Linked DNA regions of Styela clava. The protein of the gene in region 1 binds, or shares a complex with, the protein of each later gene. Links are inferred from orthologs where the notes say so. Each region holds a gene or a part of one and is shown on either strand. Other genes may lie near its edges.

Region 1 (7,848 bases):
TCCATACATTGAAAATGCATATCCAATAATAGTGACTGTACCTAATTCTACTGGAGTTACTTTAATCCCGACTTCAAAGGATGATTGCGGCGCAATGTTAAAAGTCTGTGGTTGACAATCTATAGCTGAACTGTTTGAATCAAGAATCAGCGAAAATTCTGATATCTTGATACTGCAATGAGAAAGTGGATTAAATACATGTACTATAATCTCGAACATTGTGTTTACACACCATCTAAAACAAATTTTTTTAAGCTCGTGTGTTTGTGACTGTCTAATCGTTGGTGTGTAAATAAAAACACTTTGAGCATCAGATTCAGTTTTAGACTTTGTTGGTCTCATTCCATCATCTTCAAATAAAGGAGAAATCTTAGTTATGACTGGTAAAACATAGAAGTTGAGTTCAGGTGATGTGCTATCGAGTACACTAATATTTTTCTTGACATAATTTTCCAATGCAGAGCAAGTTGCCTTTTCATCAGTTTCAGACAAATAAGGAAACATATTCAAAATCAAATAAAGCAAATAACGAAGTGCAAGACTATGATTATTAATTTTTTCCAAAGAATATACAAGTTCATGTAATATTCTAAGACTAATACTTGGCCATCCATGTCTGTTTTTAAGGTATGGGGAGATGATAGAGTGTTTAGTCGGACATGATATTGTGTTCAATAAAAGTCTGTTGCAAAGTTTCCAATCAGGTTCTTTGATATGATGTGCTACACATTGCATCGCAGCCACTCGTTTGTAAAATGCAGATTTTCTGTAAAATCCTATACTTTTATATAAATCAGCCATCACACTGTATCGTTGTAATCTTTCGGTATCTGAAACATTGAGTGTGATGTAAACAGCATTTTGAATGAATTCTGAAGCTTCTAAAAAGCTTTTAGCCTCAGCAAATACTTTTGTTGCTTTGATACAAGCTTCCATTTCAATAACAGCCAAGTTTTTATATCTGCTATAATGAATAATAGCTTCTCTGTATCGATCCACTAAATCTTTCATTGACGAAATACAAAGCTTTTTAACATCAGGTGCTGCAAAAGACGATATTGGCTTTTTAGAAAGATTTCGGGGGTCAAGGGTGAAATTCACAGAAGATTTCTCAGTTTTCAGACTAGCAAAATGCACCAGGGCTGAAACCACACACAAACCTTCCAAAGCACTTCCTACCCAAACTGTATCATTAATTGGAATCAATATGTCAAGTGCACTGTGATAACATTGTAATGCTTCAGATATTTGTCCCACCAGCAAGTTAACGTCAGCAAGATGCTTATAGTGACGACCAGAACATTTTTTGCGCATCACTTTACTGTCAGACTCATTTTTTTCATCTGGATTTTCAAACGGAGTGGCTATAAGCATTGGTTTTCCACTTCTTTCTTGAGCCATTCGCAAACGTTTTGATTCCAGCTCATAAAAAATTGCTGTGACAAACTGTTTGATATCATAATCCACAGATTTCCATGCATTGTGAGATGAAAATTGAAAAACATCTTGACTGTGGGGACGAATGGTTGTGTCTATTCCAAAGATAATACACCTAGAATGCAATAATCCTGGACTGTACTCCTCTTTCAGTTTATTAAATTTATCCAGGATTAAAGCTGCTTCCATTGGATTAATAGCTTCTCCAATAAATACAATTCCACACACTTGTCTATGTGCCTGTAATGGACCCCAATGGCTATTTTGTGGGGATGCATTATCATCAAATCGAATGTTAATTGTGTACCCAGCATCATTTATCACAAGAGATTTGTAAAGTTCCAATTTCTTCAAGACAAACTGTACTGATGCTGTGTTTATGTTTGCAGCATATTTGACACCAATGAGGATTTGCGAATGATCCAGTGCAGATGTCATATAATTAGCAACGCTCATCTTCTTGTTTTGTAGTAATAAATTATACAGAATATATTCAGTACTTCATATCATTCTGTCATTGAAAAATGAAATTACAAAGTCGCTGCAATACAGCAATATTTCGACCTATGACACTTGTACACAGTTTCAAAAAACACCGGTACCGTACGGTATGTCTGTATGTATATATTAGTCAAAAAAAATGCAGTTCTCATATTCATTATATAAAGTCAGACAGTACGATATATAAATACACTGGTACTAAAGTAGGCTAAACGCCGTAACTGCTTATGACAGTAGGATAAGATTTACATATTTAAATATCGCCTTACAAAAATGTAATATGAAATGAACGCTGTAACAGTGTAACTGCTCAAATTACACCCCCAAAAAATGTGACAATGAAATGTAATGTTCTCTTGCTACAGCATCCTTGCGTAATACGCATACGGATCCACCTGCGCAAAGGCATAAGGAGCAAGGAAAGGTAGTTAGTTTAACGCAACCTCAACTGTTAGTTACAAAAAAATGTGATTCAAGATTTTAATGTAAAAGGTCGAAATTACACCCGTATTGTCTTAAAGTGTCGCCGTCGAAAATGCAAAAAGATGGACGACTCATCTGTTGTCTTGTGAGTTGAGTTGTCCGCCTCCCTTTGTCCCATGCCATGCGGTAAGCATACGGTATTCGTGCAAGCCAGACTTTTATTTTTAGAAAAAAATGAAAATTTGGGTTGTATTTTCAAATCACATTTTTGTTTGACGTTATTGAAGCACTTAGATAAGATTTACATATTTATCCCGGGGGAGAGGAAAGCCGATAAGACGGCTTATCCATATGGCGAACCACAGCCTCTCGTCCGGTTACCATTCCAAGTCGGGTATGGGATTAGTTATATTGTTTGTTTTCGGAAGCATGGACTTGGTGGTGGAGGAAGCCGTAACCGAACCAGCGGTTACGTGAACCACCCAACGACGGCGAGGAGTCCAGCAATCCTCTCGCACATAACCATCCCTGAATGGGATTCGAACCTGCGAATCCACGCAGAGTAAGTAAAGGTGCGGTGGCGAGCGTATTTCTAACGCTTAGCCCGTTGAGCCACACCGCCGCGCCTTACAGCAGTCATTTTCCCACCACATTTGTGTTTGGGGGTATTTAAGCAGTTACGGTGTTTCCTTCACAAGACAAAAAGTGTCATGCTACGCCCACTAGAAGTATGTTAGGTACGAAACTACATGAGACCCAAAGCTGCAAAGGCAATACCGGTACTGGTACCGGTACCGGTATAAATTAAAGCCGTAAGTTACATTATATTCGCTATTCGGCGTTGTGCAACCATTTTTGCATATGTTATTCCTAACCCCCACTTGACCTATGGCATTCAGAAATTACGCCACTACGACACCACAGCACAGCAGTAACGTAAAAATGTCTCCAAACTATACCGGTACCGGTACTAACTCCAGAACTCTGCAACTGCTGAACTTTGCTATTTCTTGGTCGGAGGTGAGTCCAACTCGGATACAATCGGTAATGACGTCACATTGGTCGGAGTCGGAGTCCAACTCGGATCCACTCGGTGATGACGTCACGAACATTGATTTTTTTTTGCAAGATTTCGGTAACCGGGATTATATTAGTTTATTTTTGGACACGAAATGTACATATGCTTTTGTTTTTTCAATTATGTTCTTGTTAATATCTTCAACTACAGGCCAATTGATAATTGGAAAGTTTATGCTGTCGTTAGAAGGCTATTAATTTTATTTCCTCATCAGGCGCGGCGGTGTGGCTCAACGGGCTAAGCGTTAGGAATACGCTCGCCACCGCACCTCTAATTACTCTGCGTGGGTTCGCAGGTTTGAATCCCATGCAGGGATGGTTAGATGCGAGAGGATGGACTCCTCGCCGTCATTGGGTGGTTCACGTAACCGCTGGTCGGTTACGGCTTCCTCCACCATCAATTCCATGCTTCCGAAAACAAACAATACAGTAAAACTAATCCCATACCCGACTTGGAATGGTAACCGGACGAGAGGCCGTGGTTCGCCATAGGGATAAGTCGTCTTATCGGCTTTCCTCTCCCCCGGGATAAATATGTATATCCTATCTTATCCTTATCACTGAATACTTCAGTTACGTCAACCTAGAGCAGGTTTTCCCAAACTGGGGTCCGCGACGACTACATAGGGGGTCCGCAGTGATATTGAGCGACTGAAAAATGTACATTTAACATATAGAGGACTTGCACGGGTCACGTGACTTTGTTACTGAACGGCAATAAAACAAACACGTCCATTTGGCTCCTGTCAGTTGCAAGTCGGATTATACGTTTCCGTTTTGTTTGGCTGTTGAAAATGGTTATTTCGTATTGTTCCGTTAGCTGTACGTATAGTATAGACAACGAAATGGATCTTCATTTATATTCCACTGATTTCAAAAGATCCGGAACGTCGCGCAATGTGGATATCATCTATTGCCTATTGGCAGAACTGCTTGGTGTCAAGTCCAGAAGCCATATTACTTGTGTTTCACTGTTTGCGGACAGCACTTCGTTGATGGTGAGTGATAATGTGGTGATAGTGTGCCGTTATCAATTTTTTCAAATATTCACAAGCTCCCTCATTTCAATGGAAAGCAGATGACAAACTACTGTTATTAGTAGGCTTAGGCGTGGGCCTACTTGCAGTTGCAGACTTGACTTGTGTGAGACAGTAAGGAATTAATAATCAATTGCTATAAGGTATTGTTTCCCTAACTAGCAGGTAATCTATTACTAAGTGTGAAAGGTTGAATAGATAACTAAAGTTTAACACCAGTGGTCATGCAAAAAATAACCAGAATTCAATTGATTCGCCATCTAGGAATACGCTCGCCACCGCCTCTCTGATCACCCTGGTAGTTTCACAGGTTTCAATCCCACGCGCGGATAGTTATGTGCGAGAGGATTGCAGCTCTACTCCCACCGAGGGTGGTTCACATGACCGCTGATCGGTTACGACCATTCCCCACCATCCAAGTCCATGCTTCTGAAAACAAATAACTGGCTCCTCCCCAGATAAATCCTATCCTAATGGTGCTTGTACAACTGATCCAAAATGTCTTTTTATTGTCATTGGTAAAAAAGATATGCTACCCGGAATCAAATTCATTTACGACTAGTGGCTGTGGTGGGATATGGACTTAAATTTCACACTCCTTGATCGTTAGATTTTATGAAAACTCTATCTGTATCCATTATCTTACAGATATGGGTGCGACAATGGAATAGATGGATGGCAAAGTATAAGTTGCAACAAGACCACAGTGGCACAAGACCTCAGCTTGCGTGACTTGATAATACATCCTCAGTATCCATTTATTGATGCTTATCGTAATGACAAAGTAACTTGTGATTACTGTGGATTGGTGGAGATAAAGTGTCCATTGTGCTTTAACGAAAGCAACTTCAAGACGACCCTATCAAGAAAAAAAAAATGTTTCGGTGGGTCTGGTAGTGAAGGTTTTAGTCTAACGTTGGACACCGATACTACAACAAGATACAGTTGCCAATGAAACTTACCGAGGCGTAATATTGCGACTTTGTGATCTGGAAGGAAATTCTGATGGGTAGCCGGCTAGCCGCAACCTTTTGTTCAAAGAATATTATGAGATATGACTTAAGAGTCTAAACTTTTATTTGAAAGGGGTGTAATCCAAGCTAATTTGCAAATGGTATTCATGGTACCAAATGTATCACACACTTTACAGTAATTATAAATTATATTTGAAAAATAAAGCACATCAAAAATGTATTTTTAAAAAAAATTGGTTTTATCTGCAGATACTAGGTTGATATTGAGATTGACCATTTCAATGCTAAATTTTCTTTAGTCAAAAGGCACAATTGATTCGCAAAGATTTGTGAATGCGCACAGTACACCAATTTGTCTAATGTTTTGATTCCATAGGCAGGAGGTTGTGGATCGGTGCTGCTCAGGATGGGATATTTTTGCCTCTAAATGCATATTACGTGTTTCACATGAATCCATCGTGCTCAGATTCGACTGTTTTCAAGGTCTGAAGGCTCCAACAGCCTTATTATTTTATGGCTACACAAGAGAATTTTCAGTGTGGCATGCATGGGTCAGTTGGAGTCACTAACCTCAAGATATCTATAAGCAAGGATAAGATAACCTGGAAGTAACATTCCATAATTTAGAGTAAAAAATGTATCTGCCTCCACAGCCCTTTCAAATGGAAGATATGATGCCTCGGGGGTAATTTCTATCAAATATTTTACAGTATTATGGTTCTAGTGAAAAGGGGTGTAGGCGGCTTTTTTTAAAGTGTGGTAGGTCTAGTCGAAAGACACATTAAATGTTTATGCTAACAACTGCAAATTAATATTGCAACACATACAATTTAACAGAATTTATTGAAATGGTCCTGCCTTTTTCCTTTCTTCAAAATCCCCCTTTTTCTAACTATTCTCTTCCTCTCTGGGGCTGGCGAAAATTCAAATATCGATGGGACATATAAGCAGCTGATAATGGGTTATCTTCCCTTTTTCCTGAAAATAAATTAAACACTAATCATCATTTGACAGTGCCAAGTTTGTGTATCAGATCAGTAATAAATTACCTGCGAACTAACAAAACAATCAGACAACACCTTCTGACCATTAATGAAGATTTCTTTCAATTTAAAACGCAACTATGCCTACCAATGTGGGTAGTTTTTAGGATAGAATTTATCTGTGGTTGGGGACAGATTGCAAGGTGCAACATCGTACGATTACCATTCTATGTCGGGATTAGTTAGCCAGTTATTTGATTTAGAAGCATGGACTTGATGGTGGGGGATGTCGTAATCGACCAGCGGTCGTGTAAACCACCCTCAGTGGGAGGAGAGCTGCAATCCCCTCACACATAACTATCCCCGCATGGGATTGGAACCTGTGAAACTCCCAGGGGGATCAGAGATGCGGTGGCGAGCGTATTCTTAGATGGAGAATTCAATTGAATTCTGGTTATTTTTTGCATTAGCACTGGCGTTAAACTTTAGTTATCTATTCAACTTTTCACTCTTACTAATAGATTACCTGCTAACTAGGGAAACAATACCTTATGGCAATTATTGATTAATATCTTACACGAGTCAAGTCTGCAACTCTGCAAGTAGGCCTACGCCTACCAATAACAGTAGTTTGTCATCTGCTTTCCATTGAAATGAGGGAGCTTATGAATATTCAAAAAAATTGCTAACGGCACATTATGACTTACCATCAACGAAGTGTTGTCCGCAAACAGTGAAACACAAGTGAGATGGCTTCTGGACTTGACACCAAGCAGTCCTGCCAATAGATGATATCCACATTGCGCGACGTTCCGGATCTTTTGAAAACAGTGGAATATAACTGAAGATCCATTTCGTTGTCTATACTATACGTACAGCCAGCGGAACAATACGAAATAACCATTTTCAACAGCCAAACAAAACGGAAACGTATAACCCGACTTGCAACTGACAGGAGCCAAATGGACGTTTTTGTTTTATTGCCGTCCAGTAAACAAGGTCACGTGACCCGTGCAAGTCCTCTATATCCACTGTTACTTACGTCACTCCGTGACGACTACACAGGGGTCCGCAGGGATATTGAGAGTCTGAAAAATAGTATAAGTATTGAGAAATTTTGAGAAAAGACGGGAAGAAGGTAAAAATCACAGAAAAACAGGAAATATGTATTCAGGGGACCACGGGAAACTTCAATAAAAAGCAGGAAGCTTTAAAGCGTGAAATACGGGATATTTCACTAAAACGCGGGACATAGGCTAGCGAAAAGTTTACTAATGAACTGAAACTACAGAAAATTTCCCTAAAAAAACGGTCATAACGTGGAATTTGCAGAAATATTTATCTAGGTATTTTGTAGGGAGAAATTGAATGAAACGCAGAATTATTAGGAAATGTTGGGAGACAAGGAAAATAAGG
Region 2 (7,780 bases), on another chromosome or scaffold:
TCGAATGCATTAAAAGATTATTTTTTGACATATTGAAGTTTGTCATTATATCACATATTTTTGTGCAAAATTTTGTAAAAATACATTTCTGTTTATCAAATAAACTTCTTACCTTATCACAAACATTTAATATTCTGTGCAGACGAGCCAATGATAATTGAGCTCTGTCGACATGACGTGGGAACTCAGCATGGAGAAGTCGAAATGAAAATGGAACCATGGATCCTCGACGACCTAAAAATGGAAAGAAAATTTTATGGAAATCAGTATAAGCTAGAAGAATACTGCAGAAGACCACAGCCACTCCAATAGCCTAGGCACGAGAAGAGCTAATTTGTTCATAATAATATAATCAACCACATAGAAGTCAAACCAATGCAGGGTAATCAGTATGTTGACTACTAACACTTTGAAGGATGCGATGCCCTGTTTTTTTTGGGCACTACCCTCCATCTTGAGCACTACGTTAAGTTAAAGGCATAATTAAATGATCATATATGAATAAAAATAATTCTCACCTGGATAGACATCAGGATAAAATTCATAGTACAAGTCTGCATTGTCGAGATTTTTGAAAGTAGAAATTTCACTTGTAGCCATGTCATATAGTTTTAATTTTGTGAGGATATATATGCGAGTGTACCACAACTACAAACAAAACAACACAAATTAATAAACATATTCAAAATTAGCTAGTAAAGAAATAATGCAATATTAAATTTGCCAATAGTTTTGACTTGCATGAATACTCACTCCGTTTTTATTATTCGGTATAATATTTTTAGCTTTCCATTTGAGTATTGCTTTCATTAGCTCTACTTTATACCATATCATGCCCACAATAAAAATCAGTATCATTGACAGCTTATTGACTTATTAATTTTCTACCAACAGGCTGCAACTAAGTAAAATCAAACCTGTAATGTTTCTGATGTATTGAGTGTCATTCGTGTAACTTGACCAAATCCTTGACCATGAGTTGTTAATAGTTTAGCACACAGGTTTGCAGCAGATCGTAGATTGCCAGATTCCTGTAAAATGAAAAAAAAAACTGACTTCATTATATTCTGCGCCTGATTTTGAAATGTATCAAATTAAAAATTTGGTTAAAATCATAAAATTCCATTCTTGTGCTATGATTGAAAATGTACCATCAGTTTTTTGATTCCATCTTTATTGAGAGTGACATCGTCCATTGTCAGATTGCCACGTTTCACAACATTCTCTGACCCCGTCATTCTTACGACAAGCTCTTTGACTGGATCCTCTACAGAAAAAGGGAACTGTTATTTTATATCACACAAAAATTTTTGTGAGGTTAGAAAATAGGCACAAAACAAGAATACCAATCTACGGTAATTTAAAATTTTTCATATTTATATTTATTCTGGAAAAGCCAACAGTAAGGTGTATTCATGTTATGAATCATGGGCCCCTCATTCAGTTACCAATCTTGGTATGCGAAATGTTGATCAGTTGTTTCACATGCATGAAGCTGTAACTGACCAATGGTTATTATGTGAACCACCTTTTGACAGCAATGACGTCCAGCAAATCGATAGTATATGACTATCCTCCACATGATACGAACCTGCAAACCCACAGGGTTAGGGCAAATTAAGAGAAAAGCCAAATGCCGAAAAAGTTCCAATTTATCATTTTCAAGGGACGGAAAATCATTTTAGAAATTCAAACCTCAATGAAAAACTCCAAATCATACCAATAATACAAACCTAACAATTCACTGGTAGATAATCCTGGTCTAGTAATCTTCTCCATTTCTAAATCAGGAGATTTATGGTTCACAATTGCAGCGGTCAATATGGCTCTAGTGTCTTCACAAGGTAGCCAGGCATCACGTCTTCGATCAAGAACACTGTTACTCAAAGCGGCAGCAAACGGGTCATCTGTGGAAAATTGGGAAAGTATACGCAATTGTTACAACATAATTTTTGATACAGACGATCAAATATAAGACAAACTTTTGCATATGTAAGCAATGTTAGTTCATAATTGATATTTACAATTAGAATAAAACGTAGAATTTATTAAAGCACTTGGCATACCATTTGAAAATAAGATTTTAAGAGAAGTTTTTGAACAAATATCTTATTCTCATCAAGGAGAAAAACCACTAGCAAATGGTAAAAACATTTTGCCAGCTATTGCAAAATATATTAATTATCAGCGGTCACTTCAGATTGAGTAAATTATTTAGATCTGAGCCCAAAAGCTGAAAAGTACTTTATTAACATATAATAAGAATGCAAATACAAGCAGATATTAACCCTTTACTTACCTTCCTCTATTTCTATACCATGTCGTTCAGACACTGGACTTGGAAACAAAGTTTGTTGCTTATCTTGAACAGAGGTGAATAATAAACCAGTAGTTGGAATTTCAGGTTGAATTTCGGTTTCAGTAGCCGTTTGTTGCGTAGATACTTCTTCAGTCTCGTTGATTTCGGTAGTTTTCGATTCTTCATAAGTCATTTTAGATTCTTGTATCGAGGTGTTTTCATTTTCTGAAAGTTGTTTTACATTTGGATCTTCTAATGATAGTTTCTCAATTTCCGTTGAAGCGTCTTCAATGATATCATCCACTTCAATATCGTTTGGTAAATCAGAGATAGCAGATTCTGTGTTCACCATATCATCTGGCGATATTGAAAACGATGGTATTCCTGCCGAAGGCACTGGCTGTGATTCATTTAATAATACATCCTGAGCCATTTTACCTGGGTTTTCAGGAATTTCATCAGATTCTATTAATTCTTCGACAATGAATGAATCGACTGAGCGATTCAATCGCAGCGTTTCCATTGAAGGGGTTAATTTTATGGATTCTGTCATTGGGGTTGAAATACTGCTATCATCTATGCTCTCAGATGTAAATGAATGATCGTGAGCGGCTTCATCCGCTTTTGCGTCTTCTGAAATTTTCGAAAATATATCATCACCAGATGATGTAGGAATCGAATTGCCACTTCCAAACACATCACACAACTCAGGCTCTTTTGATTCATTTTCTTTAACTTGAACCACGTTTTGTGAATTGGACACGCCAGAAAAATCTTTTTTCAATTCTTTCTGAGATAATGTTGTGTCGATTGACCCATCACTGAAAAGGGTACAAACCGGGATGGGTTCATTCGGTAATTGGTTGTTTTGGACGTCGCCACCTCCATCAGCCATACCTCACAACTATATCTAGACAATTTATATATCTTCTAAAATCACGGCAGTAAGAAGTCAGTGTTAATATTACATGAAAAGTCAGTTATCAGATGTATTCAAAGCTTATCGGACATTACGCAATGGGAATCCAGAAAGTGTATTTATAGAAATAATAAGCTAGCATGTCCAAAATTGAATAGTTCAATGTTTCAAATACATTCTACATTTATATTTTCGAGTAGGCTATTGATATATAATGAGCTGGAAAACGTACTGCAAAAAAATTGATAAAAAGCACTGTAAATTGATAGAAACTAAATTTGGTAATGTAGAATAGATAAGACTGTAAGATAAGCATTGTTTTGATAGATAACCAGTCAAATCCAAATTTGGACATCCCTGATGACAATTATCATAGCGCATACCCTATGAAAAGTGACCTCATCCATTTTAGTTTTGTAATTTTTCATGTTATCCTATTTTAAAAACAAGCCAATGACAGTAACATATTGGACAACAAGCTATGCCAAATGAAAGAGAGAAAGAGACGAATAGTAGCCATTCACTAATTCGAATGGTTGACAGCAAATTCTGCATTGAATTTTCTAAATTCAAAATGACGCAAAAGAAATTAAATTGCTGAACTCTTCAAGATAATTGTGGCACGGTATACTTAGAAATATACAATTAAGTCTTTCCTTAAATTTTCATACAGCATTTCATCGATGAATGATTGTGATCTCGCTCAAACATTAAAGCTACAGTCGTTGGGTTAGATACATCTCTAAAATTATGGCGCAGTACGAAAAAAAACCTTTGAAACCAAGAATTAGATACTTAATATTGGCCGTCAAATTCCACAATAATTCAAGTACGAAAATATTTGTACATAGCAAATCATTAACAAAAAGACAGTATATATACAGTCCAATAAGTCATAACAATCTCCAATCCATATTGAGCTATCCAACATCTGCAAACTTCGCAAAGTTAAACTCTGCGATTTATATTTGACGTTGTTTGGTTCCTTCTTCGAATTAATGGCGTCATTTGTGTTTTTTTGTTTAAATATTCAGCTTCGAGATCTGCTGCGTGAACGAGAACGACTCTGGCGTTTATCTTCAGGCGTTCTGCTTCGAGATCGAGAACGTGAATATTTCGGAGACGGACTTCGGGAACGAGACGGAGAATGAGACCTGGAGCGGGAGTATCTTCTTCTTGGAGATCGAGAACGTGATTTGCCACCTTCCCGACAGTTCCTAGCGATATGTCCAGTTTGATTACATGTATAGCATCGGACTTCTGACATGTCACGTCTCGGTGGTCGATCACTGTAACTGGGTCGAAAATTTCTATTTCTTTTTTGCCCATGTGAAAGTTCAACTTTCGCTCGACGTCCACAAAGCGTTGTTCCATCTAAACTTCTGACAGCGTCTTTAGCATCTCTTGGGTCTTCAAATTCAACGTACGCGAAGCCTGGTGGTTTTCTGGCAACCCATACACTTACTAATCTTCCAAAATGTCCGAATTCAATTTCCAATTCACTTCGTGAAGCTCCATCTCCAAGATTTCCAACGTACACTTTGCAATCGAGTGGAGCACTCGGTCTTCTGTCCTTATATGACATAATAAAGACTTTAATAAAGTTGAACTAGTTAAATTAGTAACTTACAAATACTAATTGGTCATATAACTGATAATGTAAAGTTCTGCATGAATAATACTCAGAAGAACGAACAACTTTTAAGCTATGCTTAAAAGGCACAAAGGAATATTTTTCAGCTTTGGCTGGTATCACAGTACTGCAGTAATACAGATCGTCTTTAGAAAAATGAAAGCTTTTTTAAAATAAAAGGGAATATATTATGTATACACAATACGGTATAAAATAGATGGCAAACCACGGCGGCCTCTCGTCCGGTCCGAGAAAAAAGTGCTGAAAATTCTAACATAACAAACTGACTGTTCCCAGGCAATACTAAACGCGCATTACTTCAAACGTCTGAACGTGATACTTTTTGTAATCCAGATTTTGAAACTCACATTCATATAACGTAATATATTTTTCAACGCTGATGCGGCGAAACTTTCGTCATAAATGGCGCCATCATGGGGCGAGGCATCAATCCTGTGAACAGTCATTTACATCAGACCGATCAGACTACAATAGCAGAATTGTAAACTGGATAAGTCTCTGACTTGGATTTTCAATTGTCCCAATAAAGGCACTGGCCGTATAAGGATGTTAACTACTGTAATATATTTCGTTTCAATATATATATTGAGCGGACGGATGAAAGGTAAACGCAAGAGGCCTCCATCACGTTATTTTGGGCAATAACTCAACTACCCAATGTCGCCGTCCTTTCGCCAAATTGGGACCCAATGCTCTGCGTCAATCAAAGCGCCAGTGTTGCAACGAATTGGGACGCTCCCCTTCAATACTAATGTATCTATTTGTTCGTCCTATTTTTTACACGCTTAAATTTAGATTTTGCACGCATTCTCGGCCGTTTCGCGCTTGGGCTCCGGCGTTTGTCACGCCGAGGCTTGTACTGCGGAATTTCTGGTCTGGTCATTCAATGCACCCTTTACCCTAGGATCAGTTCGCCTCACAATCTTTTCCTAATGTGATGTGTATTTTCCCTACATTTACAGCGACCTCATTCCTCTCAAATTTACCTTTTTACCTGCGATTTGTGCCGTCGCCTGTTTAGCATATACGCTCCGGATTAAACTATGTCATGAACATATTAGACCGTATAGGGAAGTATTTCTGGCCATTGCTTTGTTTTTAAGTATATGACAGAATGCAATCCCTGCCTAAGCAGCACAATACTGCAATATACCTGGCTTCAACCATCCCGAACGAACACAAAACAAATCCATCAATGCACCTTCAAATTATGTTTTTGGTTTCCTAAGTTTAGCTAATTTTTCTTTTCTCTTTTTTATGTGTTTCGGAACTTTGTTATTTCTTTTTTCTCTATTTTCTTCTTTGACTTTTTGTTTATGTAATCTTTTTTCTTCTTTTGTCATATTTCTAACGCAAACTGTACAAGAGGATGAGGTGGAAATTTCACTTTCATTCTCATCTTCAGCAGACTTCAAACTATCATTGTCGCTGTCTTCAGAGTTGTCATCTGCATATAAATATACTGATAGCATTTAAACCAAAGACCACAATAGCCTAGATTTTTGAGTAGACTAAGATGGCTATAAAACTTGGCCCATTGAGAATATCAAGCAAAATTTTTTGGCCGTAACCTTAATCTCATGAAGGATAGATTGATATTCAACGACGTGGATGGCCTGTCGTCGTACTTTGTTAACTGCAATAATTATAAATCGAAAGAGATTTTAAATTTTGAAATGTTTCGTATATTGCACAGAAAACCACCTATTTTTATATGTTGTCCTTCAAGTTGTCATAGTAGTCAATTTTTTTTAAAAATAAACTCAAATTAGTAAAAAAAAATCACTAGGATATATACCCTCATCTTCATCAGATTCTGTAGTTTTATTTTTAGATAACTTTACATTCATTCCTGTCACAGATCGGTACAATATCTGGGAAGAAGAAAAATATATTAGAAATCTCTATAGACACAAGCTAATAGTTTAAAATATATTTACGTACATGTGAGTCATCTCCAGTATGCATAACTGCATCGACATCTCGTTCAAAATTCAGAACTTCATCCAGCGTCCTCGGAATAAAAACTTGTTTGAATATTTGCTCCTCTAAATCAGCATTCTGTTCTTCCTCGTCTTTTTGTTCGAGTGTAGATACTCGATCCGACGTAATTTTCATAGCCTGACATTTATAAGAAAAGTTGAATAGAAGAGAATATTTTGATATAAAGCAGCTTTTGAATTTAAGGGTAAAAATAATAAATTATTTCTTTAAATACACGTACAGTTACAAAATATTTGAGTTTATCAAATATCTGTCTCTTGTCAAAATCTGCGTCTCATAATTAGCAATATTCATGAAAAATGAGTTCCGATTCACAGTAATCATCGATCATGCTGGGCCAGATATTTTCCCTTAGTTGTGACTGTGAGAACTTTCAAATCCTTAGAATCAGTTGATGATTTGCACAAAAAAATTTCAAAATCTGAGTTGGGGACGAACCTACACGCATTGCTTTTCTGAGTACAATTGAGTGCCAATGTATTGGAAACAGAAAAAATGTTTTTTTACTTACATTATCTAAATATGAATCGATATTTTCTTCTGTTATATCAACATCTGTAACAAATTCAAAGAGTTCTCTCAAATTCATAACGGCAACTCCCTTCTTTTTGAAAAATTCATTCACATTATTGCAATCCTGAAAATTTCAAATCATGATCGATAAAATATACGTACCTATAGTTATCCTGATCATTCTTCAGAAACAGAGTCATGAAATATGTGCATTATATTTAAAAAACTGACTATTAGGCAGTGTATTTCCAAAATGACATAGAATTATGAGACTGTCAAGATCATATTCTCGTATGAAAGGAACATAACTGAAAAAAAAACTATAATAGGCCTATATAGTACAGTATAAATGTGTTAAAATATGATTCAATAACCATATTGGAATATATTT
Region 3 (7,737 bases), on another chromosome or scaffold:
CTCCAAGGTCGTTGTCCATAAAAATCCAGAGGTTGGCCACTAGTATCCAGTGGATCATTTGATGGATATTCTTGTTCTGTGGCTACAGAGCACAAGCCTTTTGCATGAGTGCGTCTTTCCTGAGCATAGTATGCAGCTTGCTGGTAATAAAAACCTGGATGTTGCGTTTGTATAGCGGCTAAACCAGCTTTGATTGCTTCATCAAATAAATCTCCAAATACAGTAAACTGTTTACTCATCCATGCGCTGTGCTCAAACATGAGCTCTTCATTGCCAGCCTTTGGTTTGAAGGAATCAACGTGTCGACGAAATTGAGATATAGCTTCAAGCGGCATATTGAGTCTCAGGAAGCACAATCGACATATCTTGTAGTTGACAAATCCTCCCATGACTTTGACTTCAAGATTATTTGTATCATGTGATCGCAACTCATGAATGTGGGTATAAGCTTGTCTAATAAAATAAGTGATAAAAAAATATTATCAAACCTCCTGGAATACAAGACAAGAGTTTCTAAAAGTGGTGGGAAAACGTCAGTCGTTGAACATTTAATAAATATCATTTCGCCGTAACTTCATTACTGTTAAAAAGCTTCCTGTAGCGCTAATACAGCATAATTATAGTCGAACCGATAAAACAAGCTGAACATACTGTCTTAACAAGCTTAAATAGTGCTGTTCTACAGCACTAACAAAAGTAAACCATGATACATGAGCTGTTGGTCAAGTGGTTTGGTTCAAATCCCAGGACCACCACCTGAACCAGGGTGTAATATATAGGGTAGGCAATGTCAACCAGAAAGATTCCGTTCTTTCTAAACTATAGTAGCTCCTCATGGAGCATGGCTGCTTGTGCAGAGGCATGTTCAGAGCAGAAAGATACATAAATTTGTCGCATAAAATAAAAAAATCCACAGCGTTTGACTTTAGGAAAGCGCCACCAAGATAAACAAATTCCACAAATATTGATATCGATTCAGATCTATCAAGTTTTTTACACTTGTTCACAAATTAGCTGGAAGAGTGGAGGTATTCATCTAAATTTTTTTTGAAATCTTACCTATAATGTTTAAGGGCATTTGCTGGATCTTGCATTAATTCGTTGAAGAATCCAATTTTAAACTGATGCCTCACAAATAAAAGTTGATGAGTTGTTTTGTTCAGGAATTCCTTGTGAGCTTTCACTCTTCTAGCTTCAGTGTGATAGTAACTGTTTGCCAACTCATAGAAAGCATTTTCAAGTCTAAAAACATTCATAAATATATAGTAATAAGGTTCGTATAATAATATTCATTATTATTGGATTTAATCAAGTTCGACAAAAATAATCCGGCAATTGCAACAAAGATTTCAGAAAAACGTTTATTTACTTACATAAGGTTACATTAATTCACATGAAATACAATAAAGAGTCTTTGAAAGGAGACCACGGATCATGACTGTACCAGAGATCTTATGACATTCTTATAACATCTGAGTAACCAATAACAATTCAAACAAAGCATGTTTTAAGGTACCTTATAATATATCCTAATAGATGATCAGTATGAGGAAGCACAAACAATGATTTGGCTGATAGATCACAAGCACTGCAAAGTGCGGCAGCTCGTTCTGCAGCAACCATATCTTCACCTGGGGGCAATGGAGTGCTCTTCTGTATAAGTACAACAGCAACCTTTGTTCCTCGTCCTGAAAATAACAGTACATGAGTGTAATCAGCATTTTTTTATATTACTTGTATAGCTTCAATTTCTAACATTCAAACAGACAGCAAAAAATTCTACACATATGAGTATTTTCTATGCTATTGAAAATCCTAAATTTGATTTCTTTGAAAAAATAGGTGCTACAAAAGCATAAGGTAAACCACACTGTAGCGTGAGAGATCCAAGAGGTCTGCTGCTGCAATTTTCATCCCTGACAAATATAACTTATTGCTATACATTTAATTTAGTGATTTATGGCATGAATATGCCCCTAACCCTGACATGATTAACCCCAGATCGCATCTAGGTAAGTGACATATGGTGTAGACCTCACAATATTGTAGCGCCCAAGAATGTTTAATTTTTTCAGCAGAAGACTGTCAAATACTTAGCATAGGAAAAAAAAAATTCACCAACCCTGCAAGCTTGTTCGTACAACTTCAACACGAGATGCACATTCCATTTGCTTCTCTCTCCATGCAGGTTCATCCCAATCCAATTCATAATAGATAACAACAACAGCAGGTACTTGATGCAAATGTTTATCCATCCATTTTGTTTTCAAAATTCCCTGAAATCAGTAAAGCAATTGAATATAAGTAAGTCTGATCTAGGCAAAAATGAATATGTTTTAGACCATGTATATTAATGCCTCGTCCCTAATAGCGTGTTAGCACAATTTAGATTGGGCTATTCTGAAAGTCAAGAATCGAGTAAGTAACTCATGGACAACAATAAGATTCAAAGCACTGCAGAATTGCATATTTATAGGTATACAGACAAGACAAAATAGTTAACTCAACCAAAACTTTTAATCCGATCAAAACAAAGTATGGTGTTAAGAAAAGCATATATGGAATCAAATTCTGCATACCTTAGGTATATACCACTCATAAGATGTTCTTTTATCTTTGGATCTTGGATAACAATGATCCCCAGGAAGACAACCAAAAGATATTGGAACTCTGTCAGCTCGTCTGTAATAAAATTTATTCTATAAAATTGAAGTTTTATTAGATCAAATCATTTTCAAATTGAACAGTTTCTTATGTAAACAGAAAGGCATACCTCGAAATCATGTGAAGAACATGATGACCATCAGGAAGAAAATAAGTAAAGTATAATGTAGGTTATATTGTGATAATCAATATATATAAGAAATTAATGGACTGAAAAACTTTAGAAAGAGTGCATGTTTCATAATACAGTAATATATCAATTTTTGTATGAAACTTCAAATGTCAAAGAGATAACTATTACCTGTTATTGCTGAAAGCATCCCATATAGACTTGTGAATAGCATTGTATTTTATATCCAATCCAGTAAGAACAACAAAAGACATTGGATCATAACATAATTCCTGAGGCAAATCCGTAGCAGAAGCCATGCCCGAGCCTATAGTGATGTGATGATGGGCGAAATCGCTGTCCAGTTTTTTTTAAAACGCTAGTCTATAGCTTATCCTGGTCTTACTATATTACTTACAGACTTACCAATTTATTGAAAATAGCATGGAAGGGGAAAAAATGAATAATTAAACTAATTAAGTAATTATACATTATTATGTTGAAAAAAATGATTCACTTATACAGTTATACAAACATACTGGTACATTTTTGTTCCATGCAATATAAAAATGCATAAATTCTCAAGATCAAATACGACTAAAATCCCAATGACAGAATGAACTACGACAAAAATGAAAGTACTGGAAACGATGCCTAGAAGCTGAAAAGAGTGCCTGAGATCATGAGTGCATGGTTTTAGGTAGAGTCTTTTTGGTACAGTACCACTTCTATTGCGCGTAGCAATTTTGACATATATCATTCCTGACTCACCCCTGACTATGCATCCAAAAATTAAGTCACTGCGACGTCGCAATCACGAAATACTGAAATAGTGTTTTCCGAAGTACAGCGACGAATCCGACGATCACCCGCAATGGCGCCTGCGAATTGCTTCGCGGAGCTCAAATAAATACGGAACTCAAGCGAGACACCAATTTTCCCCAACGAACATTCACGATTAAATCATCTGAGCAACTTCGTGATAATGCGTTCGTTATACGTTTTCACTCCAAGCAAGGCTTCAGACAAGCAGATATGGACATATTAATTTACGGTCACCCAATGGACGTAGCTGGGTACCACACACATAAAGACTTGTTGTTTTTGTCCGTTATGTCCGTTTCTGCTCGCCTAAAGCCTATTGGGAGTGAAAATGTATAACGACTTATGAATAAGTGTGACACAATACATGACTCATCGCTGGACATAAAATGACAAGTCTCTACGTGTGTGATACCCAAATACACCCATTGCGTGAAGGTGAAATGAATACTGTATGTCCTTTTCTATTTGTCTAAAAAGCCTTGCTCAGAGTGAATAGTGCAGAGTGCACACTAAATAATAGCTTAGCGAGTCGGGCTGTGGCCATCGGGCCGCCTGTTGCACACCCCTGGATTAAACTATGCAATATTCTACTTAAGCTTTACCTATGCAAATATATCTGTGCTTATGTTTTCACGGGTAGTCGCTTGCAAAATGGCTTAAATCAGTTTTTCCATGCCGTGCCTTGATTTAACTAAAACAGAGGTTCCAAACTATTTTGATGAATGCCTTCCTTTGCCTATTTTCGATCTCTTTATTCCTCCGTCGCTACGCATAAAAACTATTTTTTCGTTGTTTGTTCAATCTTTAATAAATTCTTAGCTAGTGATATGCACAACCGCTTTCGAACGGTTTGAATAGTTTCTAATATATCCCAGGGGTGGCCAATCTTATTTTGAGCGCGATCGACTAAAATACTCATTCCACATAAACGAATCAGTAATGAATAAGCAGATAACTGCACACACGCATACAAAAAATATACCGCTGCCAATAAGCTCGGCACTGTGGGCGTATTTTTAATGAAATCGTCACAAATATTTGTATTTTCTATGTTCCAAGTGTTGAAAATTACTTAAAACAACATTGCCAAGTAACAAGTATCCATATTATCGGAACAGCACTAAATAAATATTCTCAAACAATAAATGTTACATGACTGCTCAAACTTCAGTATCTAATTTACAATTTCCTCTAAGTCCGATTCTTCGCTTGCCTAAATTAGAAAAAAATTGGGCATTCTGATACCACTGCAACCGTTGCAAATACAATTTCTTAGACAAGACACACGCCATTCGTCAAGTTCATTTCTAAACCTTGGCAGCGGCGAAACTTCCATTTGTTACGTTTAATAATGTTATCTATCGAGCTTGCCCAGACTTGAATACTTAACTGAATGTATGTGAATATCGTACTTTGCGCATGTACATTACTGTATTCGCCCTGTTTCAAAACTAAGGCTATGTTAAATTCACACAACATCAGACGCGATCAATTATATTTATGAATTATATTCATAAATACGCATTACAAAAATACTAAAGCACCAGACGATATTTGTGAAACTACACAAAATGCCAAGTCAATTTTAGGTGGTGGTGGACATTTTGCTACGGAGCATGTCGTGCGGTTATCATTTTGCGCAAGGGTTGAAAAGATGATAGTTCAATTTCAATAATTTGAAAGTATTCGAACACGAACAAAATTACAATATTTTGCATAACTATGAGAAGAAAAGAGGTAAAATTGAAATTGAGCAGAGGTATGACCCTGATAGTGGGTTTTGGGTCAGTTTAGAATCAGCGAAAGTGTTTTTATAGAAATACTATTATTCTAGGTAGCCATTCCAATTACCTTAATTTGATAAAATAATGTCAAGCAATATCCCACACTGGAATATTAATTTATTTGGGGGTGAAACATTCATACTGGCAGACATATAAGACAATAACACGATTAAAACATATACCGTATTTCCCGGCGAATAAGTCGCTTTTCTAGACCCAAATTTTTGGCCTGATTTTTTTTTTTGGGGGGGGGATTTTCGTCTTATTAGGCGAAAAAGATCATTTTCAGTTTTTTGATGTCGCCTCATTATTAAATCTGGACAATAAATAACCTCGTCAGGTTAGTTTAAATAAATCGACAATCTCCTGCTGTGAATCTGAAATTTCAATGCTGTGATTATCATATTTAAAGTTGCCTCATTTGCGTGGCTATTACCGATATACGTGGGATTGCAATTTGTGAAAATTGTCAATTGTTTTTGTCATCGTGATGTCTTATTTGAGCCGTAAACCTTTTTCATTTCAGCATTTATTCTCTCTAAGTCAGAAATTTGCAGCGAGGACAACGATAATTACTTTATTGCTCCCAAGCAACCATGGCACTTGTGTTGTGAGATACGAGTTATCACATAATCATGTGTGACAACAGGCTAAGATAAATAAGTGTTTACATGACCCAAATTTTCTTGATTTAAAAGCGGCATTATATAATACTAAAAATAAAACAGAAACATCATGTGACAGATTAAAGATGATTTTTAGGCATTGCTAATCACGAAAAAAAATTTTGTTCCACAATCACCGACAGGGCCAGACGCTGCTATGTGTATAATACCATAATTACGGTAATGTAAAGAATATATATTTAATTCATTTTTTTGACATAAATATAACTCGGTGGGATATTATCGCTGACCTAAGGTTTTGTTCCTACCGTAAAACCCACAAAAACAACATATAATCCCAATTAAATCAATGAAACAACACATTTCGTTTTGTGGACATTTCGAGGTGATGAATATCGTCATGCTAATAACCGAATTGCGTAAGTCATTTTTGGCGGTTTTGAGTTTTCCATAAAATAGGTATTTATGTAATGCTGCGCATCTGTCTGTTAACCCAAATTTTATTCTAAGAATTCCGAAGCCCATGAAAATAGAGATTTTGTATAATATGCAAATTTGTTCAATTGTTTCGTCATAATGAATTATCATTGTTAACGCAGGAGTATTGTGACGTCACAACGGCAAAATAACCTCCTCGAAGGATTTTCGAGTTTTTGCATCTCAGATTCTAGCCTAGCGCTTTTAAATTTCAATTTATACTACAGTATAGGAAGGCGTGCACTTGTGATATTCACTTTTTGAGTCCAATTCATCTTGGTTGGTTTTTATATAAGGGTACATTGTTGTTTTATTCTTTATATTTAACTTTAGTCTTATTTCGGTGGATGTGCAGAGCGTGTTATATATATCGTGTCCAGTTATGAAGTATATATTTTTAAACATAAAAAATAATGTAATTGAAACAGATTAACTATTTTGGGGATCAGACATCGTAAATACTAAGAATTACATTCGTTTTTGGATTGTTTGGTTTTCAGGACTGGTACAAGAGTCAAGTTGCAAAATTGCGTATGTCCCCTAGTCATAGACACATTTCTGCCTAAGTCACAGTGCGCCATTATAACGTCACATGACTGCGTCATACAAATTAACTTAAAACCGGCTACGATCAAAAAATTGAACTATGGCAAATTATTGACTCTCAATGGCATAGCAATATCATTAGAAAGTTTTTAGGTTTTTCTCAAAACTGCTAAAAATGACTTGCGCAATTCGGTTATTAGCGTGACGATATGCATGTTTCATATAAACACTTTATATGTATATTTATTCATAAAAACTAAATATAATCAGGTAGTTTATCTCACATTATTGTGTCCGCAAATTGCCGTCTTATTTTAGATCAGTAATGTTCTTGTATGACGGACGCAATCGCGATTTGAACACAATTAGACTGAAATTGAAAGACAGTTTGAATTCCCGTAGTTGTTAAGGATTGAATATTACGCTACAAAAAAGTCATTATAGGCTATTTTAACCAATGCGAAAACGCGGCGACCGCTCAGAGGGCATTGCATGATTATTTAAGATTCCGATGTTGATGCGATTTTACTACCCCGACTTATTGGCCGGTTATATGCAAAAATCCATTTTTTCAGGCTTAAAAGCGGGCCTCGTCTTATTCGCCAGGTAAACTTATTCGCCGGAAAATACGGTATATATATAGGGAGCTGAGATGCGGTTATAGGGATAAAGACTGTTCACCCTAATATTCAAAGTTCGATTCCCA

Evidence for each region.
Region 2: trafficking protein particle complex subunit 9-like (region 1) and trafficking protein particle complex subunit 12-like share a complex: the UniProt entries of both Homo sapiens proteins name them as parts of the multisubunit TRAPP (transport protein particle) complex. The link is inferred for Styela clava from reciprocal best matches to the Homo sapiens genes TRAPPC9 and TRAPPC12.
Region 3: trafficking protein particle complex subunit 9-like (region 1) and trafficking protein particle complex subunit 11-like share a complex: the UniProt entries of both Homo sapiens proteins name them as parts of the multisubunit TRAPP (transport protein particle) complex. The link is inferred for Styela clava from reciprocal best matches to the Homo sapiens genes TRAPPC9 and TRAPPC11.

Annotation. Positions count from the first base shown.
Region 1 is NC_135261.1:13,762,912-13,770,759, forward strand, and holds the start of trafficking protein particle complex subunit 9-like, read right to left. Parts: upstream 3,158-7,848; 5' UTR 1,894-3,157; coding exon 1-1,893. UniProt on the Homo sapiens protein: Functions as an activator of NF-kappa-B through increased phosphorylation of the IKK complex. May function in neuronal cells differentiation. May play a role in vesicular transport from endoplasmic reticulum to Golgi.
Region 2 is NC_135264.1:11,781,207-11,788,986, reverse strand, and holds the start of trafficking protein particle complex subunit 12-like, read right to left. Parts: upstream 3,219-7,780; 5' UTR 3,195-3,218; coding exon 2,300-3,194; intron 1,908-2,299; coding exon 1,734-1,907; intron 1,268-1,733; coding exon 1,152-1,267; intron 1,032-1,151; coding exon 918-1,031; intron 649-917; coding exon 519-648; intron 235-518; coding exon 113-234; intron 1-112. Other genes in the region: serine/arginine-rich splicing factor 3-like, read right to left, coding at 4,249-4,803; serine/threonine-protein kinase RIO1-like, read right to left, coding at 6,081-6,319, 6,671-6,746, 6,817-6,993, 7,388-7,513. UniProt on the Homo sapiens protein: Component of the TRAPP complex, which is involved in endoplasmic reticulum to Golgi apparatus trafficking at a very early stage.
Region 3 is NC_135253.1:11,401,331-11,409,067, reverse strand, and holds the start of trafficking protein particle complex subunit 11-like, read right to left. Parts: upstream 3,219-7,737; 5' UTR 3,094-3,218; coding exon 2,966-3,093; intron 2,683-2,965; coding exon 2,580-2,682; intron 2,277-2,579; coding exon 2,123-2,276; intron 1,689-2,122; coding exon 1,517-1,688; intron 1,243-1,516; coding exon 1,060-1,242; intron 454-1,059; coding exon 1-453. UniProt on the Homo sapiens protein: Involved in endoplasmic reticulum to Golgi apparatus trafficking at a very early stage.